Saccharomyces cerevisiae S288C: one gene and its partner. The protein of the gene in region 1 purifies or fractionates together with the protein of each later gene. This does not show direct contact. Each region holds a gene or a part of one and is shown in the gene's direction. Other genes may lie near its edges.

The links.
Region 2: the proteins of PRP3 (region 1) and BRR2 purify together in Saccharomyces cerevisiae (affinity purification with mass spectrometry; 8 studies listed by BioGRID, with this or other methods). This does not show direct contact.

What each region holds. Positions count from the first base shown.
Region 1 is NC_001136.10:1,403,945-1,409,975, reverse strand, and holds PRP3 (U4/U6-U5 snRNP complex subunit PRP3), read left to right. Parts: upstream 1-4,121; coding exon 4,122-5,531; downstream 5,532-6,031. Other genes in the region: JIP4 (Jip4p), read left to right, coding at 1-2,512; TRAPP subunit TRS31, read right to left, coding at 5,803-6,031.
Region 2 is NC_001137.3:529,884-537,837, reverse strand, and holds the start of BRR2 (ATP-dependent RNA helicase BRR2), read left to right. Parts: upstream 1-1,816; coding exon 1,817-7,954. Other genes in the region: RAD24 (Rad24p), read right to left, coding at 1-1,538.

The sequences.
Region 1 (6,031 bases):
GTCCAACAATGATGACAGGCGCAGTCTAGCCTCGATATTGGACTCGAGCAGTTCCGTCAAAAAGAAGGGGAAAGGCAGCAACGAAAAGTACCTACCATGCGTATCTTTCAACACAGTTCCCAGATCAAGGGTATCTTCGCCCTTAGATGAAGAGAAAAGAGAATTTCCTGGCGTGCAGATCTCTGCAGATTATACAATGGAGGAATATTATGACGACGAAAGTGGCTTTACCTCGGACAACAATGCCGACTACTTCTCCGGGAATAGCTATTCGAGTAGGCGAGAGGGCAGTGCTAGTCCCGGCAGGTATTCTTCTCCACCTCCTGCCTCTAAAAGAAACATCAAAATAGGTAAGATGTTTAAGATTTCTGAAAATGGTAAAATTGTAAGGGAAGACTATCCTACTACACCCACCGATATCAATGACGCTCTTGTGATTAGTAGGGCGTATGCCAATTGGAGACAACTATGGATCAAGAAGAAAAATCAGATAGATCATCGATTAGAACAAAAGCGCGATTTCTTCAATTACCCAACAATACTGTTTCCTCCAAACAAAAAAAAGTCGTCTGAGGGCGCTACTCCCACAATAAAATTCAATCCTCCCATAGAAGACGGCTTTACGCCTTTGACTAAGTCTCAAAAGCGGAAAGAGCGTGTTTTGAGCGAAAAGGTTGGGTTCCCGAACACTCCTCGAACGATATTGTGCCACATCAGCGGCAGGAAACATACTTGGGTAGCACTAGATTGGGCGCTACGAACTTTGATTCAAAATACAGACCACATTGTTGTGTTGGCAAACCTGCCCCGCCTGACTAAGAATAATTTCGAAGACAATGATTCGATGAGTGAGCGAAAAAGAATGCTAATGATGATGGATGATAGCAGGAGTGTTAGCTCAGCAAGAAGATCACGATCCAGATCGAGATCACGATCCATATGTACAAGAAGGGCACTTTCTCTGGGGCCTGAGGAATCTGACAACAAATTAAAGCACCAAAATTTTATCGAGTGGACATCTGGTTATACGCAGAACGAAATAGAACGTAAATTGCAAGATCTTTTTGATTATGTTACACTCATAATTCCGCAAGATCGTTCTGTCAAGGTCACTGTCGAGATCCTAATTGGCAAGACTAAAAAAACGCTTCTTGAGGCAATAAACATCTATTTACCTGATTTCTTTGTATCTAGCACTTTGAGGTGGGAGAGAACAGACAGCTTAGTTCGTTGGAAATCGAACTTTCTGACAGATAAACTGTGTACTAATTTTCCGATTCCAACGTTTATTGTACCGGCAAAGAGAATGTTCGATTTGGAAATAGATTTGCAAAAAGAGTTTAAAGAACCGGAGGTAACGAAACAAAAAAATACTAGCGGTCCAAAGCCTGGGTTCAGCCATTCTAAATCAGCAGATGCTAGCATTCCAACTATCTCAAATATCAAACGGAAGCAAGATAACGATTATTCTATAGATTCACTATGTTATGCCCCAGAAGCTAATGGTGCTAACAATAGTAGCCGAGAGGAAGCATCTGATGATGAGCTTAACGCTTTTAAGGATGATGAGAATGATGTGATGTCCGTGAAATCCTTAACCTCTAACATTTCGGTAAAGGAAAAGTTATGTACCATGGCAAGGAAACGTAGAAAGAGTATGGCTCAGCAGTTAAATGACGCCGATCATGATTCATCAATACCACCGGGACAGAGGCATTTGAAAAAACTGAATATTATTTTGGAATCTTCATTAAAGTTTTCATTAGAAATCGATAGCATCACTGATAGTATTGAAAATGGGGATGTAGACGAAAAGAGAGCACACTCTATGGAGTCGGGCTTTGAAGAACTGAAAAGAGTCATCACAGGTGGTGCTCCTCCAAGGCATGTGGCTACCCCGCAGAGGTCCATGCTTGATGTTTTGGACAATCCAAGTTCATCTAGATCCAAATCCAAGTCAAGATCAAGCTCTAAGTCAAGGATAAGAGACAAATCAAAACCAAGCTCTCCTACTGCTACCGATATAAACTCAAGTGCGAGTGCGTCGAGATCACGTTCTCCGCAAATCAAGTTCGCGTCGAGTGTCAAGAATGTAGATGGTAATGCTGCACTGGGTGCTATTAAATCTAGGCACTCGCTAGACAGCCCAGGGGACCAGCAACAACAACATCATCATCACCATCATCGTGACACAGATCAGTTGTCCGTTCCAGGCCTTCCCCATTTGGCACCTTCAAAGTCATATAGTGTGAGTTCTGGTAATAAGGATTCATCTTTGAGGAAAGTCAGTAGCTCATCTTCGCTCAGAAAAGTAAAATCTAATGATTCGAACTCTGGTAAACGTATTAAAAAACCGGTCGTAACTTCAGCACACTTGAAACCAAGCTCAGGCGGTGGTGGTTTATTCTCTTTTTTTAAGAGTAAATCGAGATCCCCGTCATCTTTCAGAAAGGAAGATGAGAGTAAAAATACGCCTAAGCGTGGCGGATTGTTTGGGTTCGGAAGGCTGTAGTTGGTCTTACGTTCTTATGTGTTTATTCGATATAATTCTATAACATTTTTATGACTTTGTGCCTTTATGCATAACATGTATTGTACATATTAATCGACAAAAATGACATTCAATACCCTACACTAGTAATTAATAATGCTGCAATTCCATCATCGCATTCTCACCTAAAAGAAATGTGGACAGTGTTCATTATAAGCTGGGTTCCTATTCGTATTTCCGGCAATAATGCGTGCTAAGTGAGTTTGTAAAATCGTTAAAATGAGAATCAATGTACAAGGTTAGTATCACGTCAATTCTTTCAAAGCTTTATATTATTAGGTATACCTCCTTTGAAAGTAGCACCAGTCAAGATAATGGATCTTTATCCATAGTTATTGCAATTACTTTCAAAGCAATGCGGTTGTTATTGTTGCAAAAATATTGCAATATTAACTTCTTAGGAATGGTGAATTGAATTGTGTCGTAACATACGCTGTAACCCTTGTCTTTTGGGTTTAGAATGCGGAAATGAAAAACGTATAGAACATGATGAATCTACGAAGTGCAAGGTCCACGAAACAAGACAGTATCGTTGCAATTCAGTGAAATCCTTAAAATGGTTCAAATATAGATACTGGCTATCTTTTTCATTATATTGGCTTCTTTGACCTGTCACAATTATAGGGTTCAACAGTTATCTTTGGAGGAAGAAGCTGCTCATTGATGAGAAACAGGATTTATGGAAGAGAAGTCACATTCGTGAAAGGCACATTCATCAAGAAATTTTATTTTTTCTTTTGTGCTTCCCAAATTTACTGCCATACTACTCCATTTTTTGACAGCTTATTCATTTAAGAATACGACCTAACAATAGTATTCCGGAACTTTTTAACAATATCAATGACGACTAAGAGAAAATGACAACTGCAGGGAACAGATTTTAGATTTGAAAAAGCCATGACATGATACTACTATGTTCTAGATGTGTTTTATCTCCTTTTCGGTAGCATTTTTTTGGTAATTATCTAGTACGAGAGGTGACAAAATCTGTTGTTCTCCTTTAGGTTGTCGTAGTCAACTTTTTTTGTAGGAAAATTCTTGCAAGTACCCTGAAGTTATGTATGATGCAAGTCTATTGATTGTAATCAATAAGTTTTTCTAGCTCTGGCTTGCTATGTAACGTAGTGAACAATCAATGTTATCGAAAAAGTTTAGGTAAAATTCTCGAAAATGAATGCTGATAATTACTTTTTCTTCACTCCCCAATTTTGGATAATACTTGGCAGCTATATTCGCGAAACAGGAAGGTTAAAAACTGCTTCTCCAATGAAACAGTAGTTAACATATCCATTTAGCTAGAGATACTGCTTTTGGCCTCTGGACAGGCACTGTGAATTGTTCTTATATGTTCTAAAGTAAAGAGCCATGACTCAAAGAAAGTTTCTTGACTATGTTAATTTTTTTAGCATACAAATTTTAATATTATTCACATCTGCGTTTTTCTGACTGGATCCCGCACTGATCAATAACAAGAAATAGTCCTAGTAAAGTATTAGAATGCCAGATGACGTAAAACAATCAAAAAGACTCACAGAAAACATCAGGCGATCTATTGAATTGGCTTGAAAAAATGCCCCCAAGAAATACCTATGAAAAAGGTAATCCGAAACGCCAAAATAGTCCATATTATAAGCCAAGTTTCTTACGGCGTGAAGAAACTACCAATGATGAGGAGAAGTTTCAGGGCCATGGTCTGAAAACCGAACTTCACTCAGCGTTAAAGTCTTCAAATTTGAATCTTATCCGAAGAACTTATCAAACTGGTGAAAATCCCTATCTTAGTGATCCACACGATCGAGGCTCATCGAGCAGATTTAACAGGCGTTATGAACGGGGTCTGAAGTTTTACCAAAAGGGAGAAATCAGTAAAAGAATTGCCCAAGAAAGAACATTACAAAAACAGCAGGAGGAGGAAGAATTAAAAAGAAAGTTAAAACAAGAAGAAGACGAGAAAGATAAAAGAAAATTAATTGAGTCAGGTGATTTACCCAATTTAGAGTTACATGAGGATAAGTTCCTATTAGATTTGTCAAAGTTCAAGATATACTATGATAATAATCATGGCTATGAATGGTGGGACACGGCTTATTTAGATGAAAAGGGTGAGTTGATGGAAAAATATGACATGAATGGCACATCGCCTGCCGAAGAAAAGCTAGCAGAAGATATTGATGAAGTAGACGATGATGATGATGATGAGCACCCATCTATAAGATATGTAGCACATCCCTTACCTGAAAAGATCAACGAGGCAAAAGTATCAATCAAAGCATATCTAACGCAACATGAAAGGAAAAGATTAAGGAGAAATAGAAGGAAAATGGCAAGAGAAGCACGGGAGATAAAAATTAAGTTAGGACTATTACCTAAGCCTGAACCGAAAGTTAAACTAAGCAACATGATGAGTGTTTTCGAGAATGATCAAAACATAACGGACCCAACTGCCTGGGAAAAAGTAGTGAAAGACCAAGTGGACCTCAGGAAGAGAAAACATCTGGAAGAAAACGAAAGAAGACATGAAGATGCTATTAAAAGAAGGAAAGAAGCAGTCAATATGAACGTTGAAAAGCCGACAGTATACCATTGTAAGGTGTTCCAGTTCAAAAACTTACAGAACCCAAAAATAAGATTCAAGTTGAAAATGAATAGTAAAGAACTATCACTAAAGGGTTTATGCCTCCGTATACGTGATGACGGACCAGGAATAATTATAGTCGTGGGTAACGAAAAATCATGCAAATTTTATGAGAATTTGGTGATGAAGAGGATAAAATGGAATGAAGATTTTGAGTTGCACACAAACACTGGGGATATAAAAATGGACATGCATAATAATTCAATATCAAAAACTTGGGAAGGCTATTTACAAGATTGTAAATTCAAAGGCTGGTTTATGAAAGTATGCAATGATCAGGATTCTTTATTACGTACGCTGGGTCAGTTTGATTCAGAGCATTTTTATTCACCTGTTCAAACGTGATATCGGTGTCTACAAAATGATACGCTTTGTTTCATATTAAATATTATTTTACTGTATGTCGCCCAGAATAATGATTTTTTTAGCACAAAAACATTCCAAAATATAAAAAGAAAATGATTTTATATGATAGATGTACTTCAAGGAAATCGACAATTAAAAGAATCATTCTTCGTAATGAATATATGAGCATATGTCTATAAATCAACAGTAAATATACAAACTCTTTATCCTTTTCTTGGTTTTAGGTATTTACCGATGTTTTGAGATGATATCAGCCAAATCTCAAACCTTCCCTGTCAAGCACTTGCCTGTCAAATTGGATCAAATAAACGGTTCGTTGACTATGTCCGCCTTGGGGCATTCGATGTGCTGTCACGCCACATGGAAATCCAGCATTGAAAAGGAATCCTTTGATAATGCCGCAAACGAAGTACTCACAAGAAACGTTCTCACCTGGGATAAATTGGGTTAAAGTGGGGAAGTTATCTACTATCATATAT
Region 2 (7,954 bases), on another chromosome or scaffold:
GAGCCACTCGGAAGATTCTTCAAATAATAGAGAATGTATTTTTTTTTATAACTCTGACACTTTCTAATTAGAGGTGCGTAGTAGCCAAATTCTAGAGTTATATTCCTGAAAGAATGTACCGCGTTGTACTTATAAAGACTAACATTTAACCAATCTTCAGCTTGAACTTTAAATGAATTTTGTAATTTTCTTACTTTCCATTCTCTTGGAAAATAAACCGTTCCATGATTATGGCCTTGTTTACTGATGTTACGAAAGGTTTTGCGCACTTCTCGTAAACCATACTCATTGGATTCTGGTAGACCATTCATATTATCACACTCGCTCAGGCAATCCACAATTGATGATGCATCAGAAATGCTGAATTCGCCTTTATTAAATGTGTTATAGTTCTCTAATATTCCTAATTTGAAATCCTCTTTCGATAACAAATTGTTCGAATTTTCGAAGAGGTTATTAATCATTTCGTTATCGTTATTCGTGCTATGGGAACCATGTATCACCTTCCCAATGGCATGAAAGTATGATATGGTGGATTCTCGGGTTGAAATCGGCAAACTTCCACTTGATGTCGCCCAAAATTGAAGGGTCGTAATGGCCGACCTAATATCACCAGTCTCTTGCGCAATATAATCTATGACTTCCTGTCTTTTATTCCATTTATTTTTCTCCTTCAACATTTTCATATTCTGTACACAAATAAATTTCAAGTGCTTTTTTAATAAAGTGCTGTTAATTGGATTAAACTTAATTCTTTTCAACCTTGGATGCATCAATATTTCTTTGTTCATTATGGTTTCTGCACTAAATGTATAATCAATACCAAATTTGCGATAATTATTATCGTTCTCTGGAATTTCACATTCAGTTATACATATAACAAGGGGAGGTAATAGAGGCTCCGAACTATATAGCCACTGTAATATAAGTTGTTGAAATCGACGTCTGGTATCTATATGGAAGACGTTGGGAAGGTCCTCGATAAGTATTAATGACAGGTTGGACATCACAAGATACCGTGCGCCTTTTAAGAACTCACTAAAGCTTTCCATCTGAGGAAGATCGTTGACTATACAATCACCTCTAAACTCGGTCACTTTATGCTCGTTCGGGGTGCTTCGAAAGGACGTTCCGTTGCTGTTTTGTCTGTATTTAGGAACTAAGATTTTTGAGAGTTCTTTTATGACCGTACTTTTAGAGCATCCACTGGGGCCAGACAGTAGTAGGATCCTATGCTTGGCGTTAGGTAAAAACATGGCATCTAAAGCTTCTTGTACATCTTTAAGTTTTCTTTTATGTATGGCCACTTGCTCCAAACAATTGGGCTTGAACTTTTCGTACCACTGTTCACCGCCGTCGTCGTTGATACTTGGGAGGATACTAGACGTATCTTGCTTGGAAAGAAAGTCATTTTCAGTGCTTCTCGCCTTACGAACTGGCGAAGTCGGTCTAGATGAGCTCCATTTTGTTATTTGCGAGCCCAATGAACTGAGACTATATTGTAATAAGGGCCGTTTGTTCAAATTCGTACTATCCATATCATTCAGACAGGAACAAACTTGATAATTAGTGGTGTTGAATCAAGTACTATTAACGCATTGTGATGATCTCTCAGATATCAATGCGTGTTTGCTTCTTTGACGATCTAATATTGAATATTGTCGCTCTTTACGAGAATATTAAAAATTTATGCTACTAAAGCTATGTCTACTATAAAGGAATAATACACTAATAGAGATAATCTTGAGTAAAATAAGGTGAAGGTAAATATAAGTAATTGCTTTGGAAGATTTACCGTGAGCCTTCGTTATTAAAAATGACTGAGCATGAAACGAAGGATAAGGCCAAAAAAATTAGAGAAATTTATCGTTATGATGAGATGTCCAATAAGGTGTTGAAAGTTGATAAACGCTTTATGAATACCAGCCAAAATCCTCAAAGGGATGCGGAAATATCACAACCAAAATCCATGAGTGGTAGAATTAGTGCTAAGGATATGGGACAGGGCCTGTGCAATAACATTAATAAAGGACTAAAAGAAAATGATGTAGCCGTTGAAAAAACTGGAAAGAGCGCATCATTGAAAAAAATTCAGCAGCATAACACCATTTTGAATTCTTCCTCCGATTTCAGGTTACATTATTATCCAAAGGATCCCTCAAATGTCGAAACTTACGAGCAGATTTTGCAGTGGGTTACAGAAGTTTTAGGCAATGATATACCCCATGATCTTATTATTGGAACTGCTGATATATTCATCAGACAATTGAAAGAAAATGAGGAAAATGAGGATGGTAATATTGAAGAGCGAAAGGAAAAGATCCAGCATGAGCTAGGCATCAATATAGACTCCCTGAAGTTTAACGAATTAGTTAAACTTATGAAAAACATTACCGATTATGAAACACATCCTGACAATAGCAATAAACAAGCAGTAGCAATTCTTGCCGATGATGAAAAATCAGATGAAGAAGAAGTAACAGAAATGTCCAACAATGCTAATGTTCTTGGGGGAGAAATCAATGATAATGAAGATGATGATGAGGAATATGATTACAATGACGTTGAAGTCAATTCTAAAAAAAAAAACAAGAGGGCATTGCCAAACATTGAAAACGATATAATTAAACTCTCCGATAGTAAAACAAGTAATATCGAGAGCGTTCCGATATACTCAATCGATGAATTTTTTTTGCAGAGAAAACTTCGGTCAGAGCTTGGTTACAAGGATACCTCTGTAATACAAGACCTGTCAGAAAAAATTTTGAATGATATTGAAACACTTGAGCATAATCCAGTAGCGTTGGAGCAGAAGTTGGTTGATCTGCTTAAATTCGAGAATATATCACTGGCTGAATTTATTCTCAAGAATAGATCTACAATTTTTTGGGGCATACGACTGGCGAAGAGCACAGAGAATGAAATACCGAACTTAATAGAGAAAATGGTTGCAAAAGGTTTGAATGATCTTGTGGAACAGTATAAATTTAGAGAAACTACACACTCAAAGCGTGAACTCGATTCCGGTGACGACCAGCCACAGTCTTCGGAAGCAAAAAGAACAAAATTCAGTAATCCAGCAATACCGCCCGTCATAGATTTGGAAAAGATTAAATTCGACGAAAGTTCTAAATTAATGACCGTGACAAAAGTATCCCTACCGGAAGGATCATTCAAAAGGGTGAAACCACAATATGACGAAATACATATTCCAGCTCCTAGCAAACCTGTTATTGATTATGAGTTGAAAGAAATTACTTCTCTACCAGATTGGTGTCAGGAGGCGTTTCCTTCATCGGAAACAACGTCCTTAAACCCTATACAATCAAAGGTTTTTCACGCAGCATTTGAAGGTGATTCAAACATGCTAATATGTGCACCCACTGGTTCAGGTAAGACGAATATCGCGTTATTGACGGTATTGAAAGCCTTATCCCATCATTATAACCCGAAAACTAAGAAATTAAACCTTTCTGCATTTAAAATTGTTTATATAGCACCCTTGAAAGCCTTAGTACAGGAACAAGTCCGAGAATTTCAAAGGAGGTTGGCTTTTCTAGGTATAAAAGTCGCTGAATTGACTGGTGATTCTAGGCTTAGTAGAAAGCAAATTGACGAGACGCAGGTTTTGGTGTCTACGCCAGAGAAATGGGACATAACTACTAGAAATTCAAATAATTTGGCCATCGTAGAACTTGTTCGTTTGTTGATTATAGATGAAATACATTTGTTACATGATGACAGGGGACCAGTATTGGAAAGCATCGTGGCTAGGACATTTTGGGCTTCCAAATATGGCCAGGAATACCCCAGAATAATAGGCCTTTCTGCCACCTTACCAAATTATGAGGATGTCGGTAGGTTTTTAAGAGTTCCGAAGGAAGGATTGTTTTATTTTGACTCCTCATTTAGACCGTGTCCTCTATCTCAACAGTTTTGTGGCATTAAGGAACGGAACTCCTTGAAAAAGCTGAAGGCTATGAATGATGCTTGTTATGAAAAGGTATTGGAATCCATCAATGAAGGTAATCAAATAATCGTGTTTGTTCATTCTCGAAAAGAAACATCACGAACAGCAACATGGTTGAAAAATAAATTTGCTGAAGAGAACATTACTCATAAATTAACCAAAAATGATGCAGGATCGAAGCAGATTTTAAAGACAGAAGCAGCCAACGTACTCGATCCAAGTCTACGAAAGTTGATTGAAAGCGGTATAGGGACGCATCACGCAGGGCTGACCAGAAGTGACAGATCCTTATCTGAAGATTTATTTGCAGACGGGTTGTTGCAAGTATTGGTATGCACTGCGACGTTAGCATGGGGTGTTAATCTACCTGCTCATACAGTGATTATAAAAGGAACAGATGTCTATTCACCTGAAAAGGGGTCCTGGGAACAACTTTCTCCACAAGATGTACTTCAAATGTTAGGTAGAGCAGGCAGACCGAGATATGACACATTTGGCGAGGGTATTATAATAACAGACCAATCGAATGTTCAATATTATCTCTCGGTTTTAAATCAACAATTACCAATAGAATCGCAATTTGTTTCAAAATTAGTTGACAACTTAAATGCAGAAGTTGTCGCGGGTAACATTAAGTGCAGGAATGATGCTGTGAATTGGTTGGCGTATACTTACCTATATGTCAGAATGTTAGCTTCCCCTATGCTTTACAAAGTACCTGATATTTCAAGTGATGGGCAATTGAAAAAGTTTAGAGAAAGCTTAGTCCATTCGGCCCTATGCATTTTAAAAGAACAAGAGTTGGTGTTATATGATGCTGAAAATGATGTAATTGAGGCGACCGATCTAGGAAATATAGCGTCGTCATTTTACATAAATCATGCTTCCATGGATGTTTACAATAGAGAGTTAGATGAACATACAACTCAGATTGATCTTTTTAGAATATTCTCAATGTCGGAAGAGTTTAAGTACGTATCGGTGAGATATGAAGAGAAAAGAGAACTAAAACAACTTCTAGAGAAAGCACCCATTCCTATCAGAGAAGATATTGATGATCCTTTAGCAAAAGTGAATGTACTACTGCAGTCTTATTTTTCCCAGCTAAAGTTCGAAGGTTTTGCACTTAATTCTGATATAGTGTTTATTCACCAAAATGCTGGTAGGTTATTGCGTGCTATGTTTGAAATATGCTTGAAGAGAGGATGGGGACATCCCACACGGATGTTGTTAAATCTTTGCAAATCTGCCACAACTAAAATGTGGCCAACAAACTGTCCTTTAAGACAGTTTAAAACATGCCCTGTCGAAGTGATTAAAAGGCTGGAAGCCTCTACAGTACCGTGGGGAGATTATCTACAGCTAGAAACACCTGCCGAAGTTGGTCGTGCAATCAGATCTGAAAAATATGGAAAACAGGTTTACGATTTATTGAAAAGATTTCCCAAAATGTCCGTAACATGCAACGCTCAGCCAATTACCCGTAGCGTTATGAGGTTCAACATTGAAATAATAGCCGACTGGATATGGGATATGAATGTACACGGTTCCCTTGAACCTTTTTTGCTCATGCTAGAAGACACTGATGGTGATTCAATACTTTATTATGACGTACTATTCATCACTCCAGATATAGTTGGTCATGAATTTACCTTATCCTTTACTTATGAGTTAAAGCAGCACAATCAAAATAACTTACCACCTAATTTCTTCCTTACTTTGATATCAGAAAATTGGTGGCACAGTGAATTCGAGATTCCAGTTTCCTTCAATGGATTTAAACTTCCGAAAAAATTTCCTCCTCCTACTCCCCTTCTGGAGAATATTAGTATTTCAACATCAGAGCTTGGCAATGATGATTTTTCCGAAGTATTTGAATTTAAAACTTTCAACAAGATTCAGAGCCAGGTCTTCGAGTCTCTCTACAATTCGAATGACTCGGTCTTTGTAGGTTCAGGAAAGGGCACAGGTAAAACAGCTATGGCTGAATTAGCACTGTTAAATCATTGGAGACAGAATAAAGGAAGAGCGGTTTATATCAATCCGTCTGGGGAAAAAATTGATTTTTTGCTATCTGATTGGAATAAAAGGTTCTCTCATCTTGCTGGTGGTAAGATAATAAATAAGCTAGGAAATGATCCTTCACTAAATTTAAAATTATTAGCAAAAAGCCATGTTCTCTTGGCTACCCCCGTGCAATTTGAGCTTTTGTCACGTCGTTGGAGACAAAGGAAGAACATCCAAAGTTTAGAATTAATGATATATGATGACGCTCATGAGATTAGCCAAGGTGTTTACGGTGCTGTGTATGAAACGCTAATTTCTAGAATGATATTTATAGCAACCCAACTTGAAAAGAAAATTCGATTTGTTTGCCTTTCGAACTGTTTGGCAAATGCTCGTGATTTTGGTGAATGGGCTGGTATGACGAAGTCAAACATCTACAACTTTTCTCCAAGCGAAAGAATTGAGCCTCTTGAAATTAATATTCAGTCATTTAAAGATGTTGAGCACATATCATTCAATTTTTCGATGCTTCAAATGGCATTTGAAGCATCTGCTGCTGCAGCGGGAAATCGTAATTCCAGTTCGGTGTTCTTACCATCTAGAAAGGATTGTATGGAAGTTGCGTCTGCATTTATGAAGTTTTCAAAAGCAATTGAATGGGATATGTTGAACGTTGAAGAAGAGCAAATTGTACCATACATTGAAAAGTTAACAGATGGTCATCTAAGAGCACCTTTAAAACACGGTGTTGGTATTTTGTATAAGGGGATGGCATCAAATGATGAAAGAATTGTGAAAAGGTTATACGAATATGGTGCGGTATCGGTTTTACTCATTTCTAAGGATTGTTCTGCATTCGCTTGTAAAACTGATGAAGTGATTATTTTAGGAACCAACCTTTATGATGGTGCAGAGCATAAATATATGCCATATACCATAAATGAACTTCTAGAAATGGTGGGACTAGCTAGTGGTAACGATTCAATGGCAGGCAAGGTTTTAATTTTGACAAGTCACAACATGAAGGCCTACTACAAAAAATTCTTAATTGAGCCTTTGCCTACTGAGAGTTACCTACAGTATATTATTCATGATACTCTGAACAACGAGATAGCAAATTCTATTATACAAAGCAAACAAGATTGTGTTGACTGGTTTACATATTCGTATTTCTATCGTCGTATCCATGTGAATCCAAGCTATTATGGCGTAAGGGATACGTCTCCACATGGAATTTCAGTTTTTTTGAGTAATTTAGTTGAAACTTGTTTGAATGACTTAGTTGAATCATCCTTCATTGAAATTGACGATACAGAAGCTGAAGTAACCGCAGAAGTTAATGGAGGAGATGATGAAGCAACTGAAATCATTTCTACCTTGAGCAACGGGCTAATTGCTTCTCACTATGGCGTATCATTTTTTACTATTCAGTCATTCGTTTCTTCTTTATCGAATACGTCAACGCTCAAAAACATGCTGTATGTTCTTTCAACAGCAGTAGAATTCGAAAGTGTTCCACTCAGAAAAGGAGACAGAGCATTACTTGTCAAATTAAGTAAAAGACTACCATTGAGATTCCCTGAACACACCTCTTCTGGTTCGGTGAGCTTTAAAGTTTTCTTATTGTTACAAGCATATTTTTCACGTCTTGAATTACCTGTCGACTTTCAAAATGATTTAAAAGACATTCTAGAAAAGGTTGTTCCACTAATTAACGTAGTGGTTGATATCCTTTCAGCAAACGGGTATTTGAATGCTACTACCGCCATGGATTTGGCGCAGATGTTGATTCAGGGTGTATGGGACGTTGATAATCCGTTGAGACAGATTCCACACTTCAACAACAAAATTTTGGAAAAATGTAAAGAAATTAACGTCGAGACGGTCTATGATATAATGGCCCTTGAGGATGAAGAGAGGGATGAAATTTTAACGCTTACTGATTCACAGCTTGCGCAGGTCGCCGCGTTTGTTAAC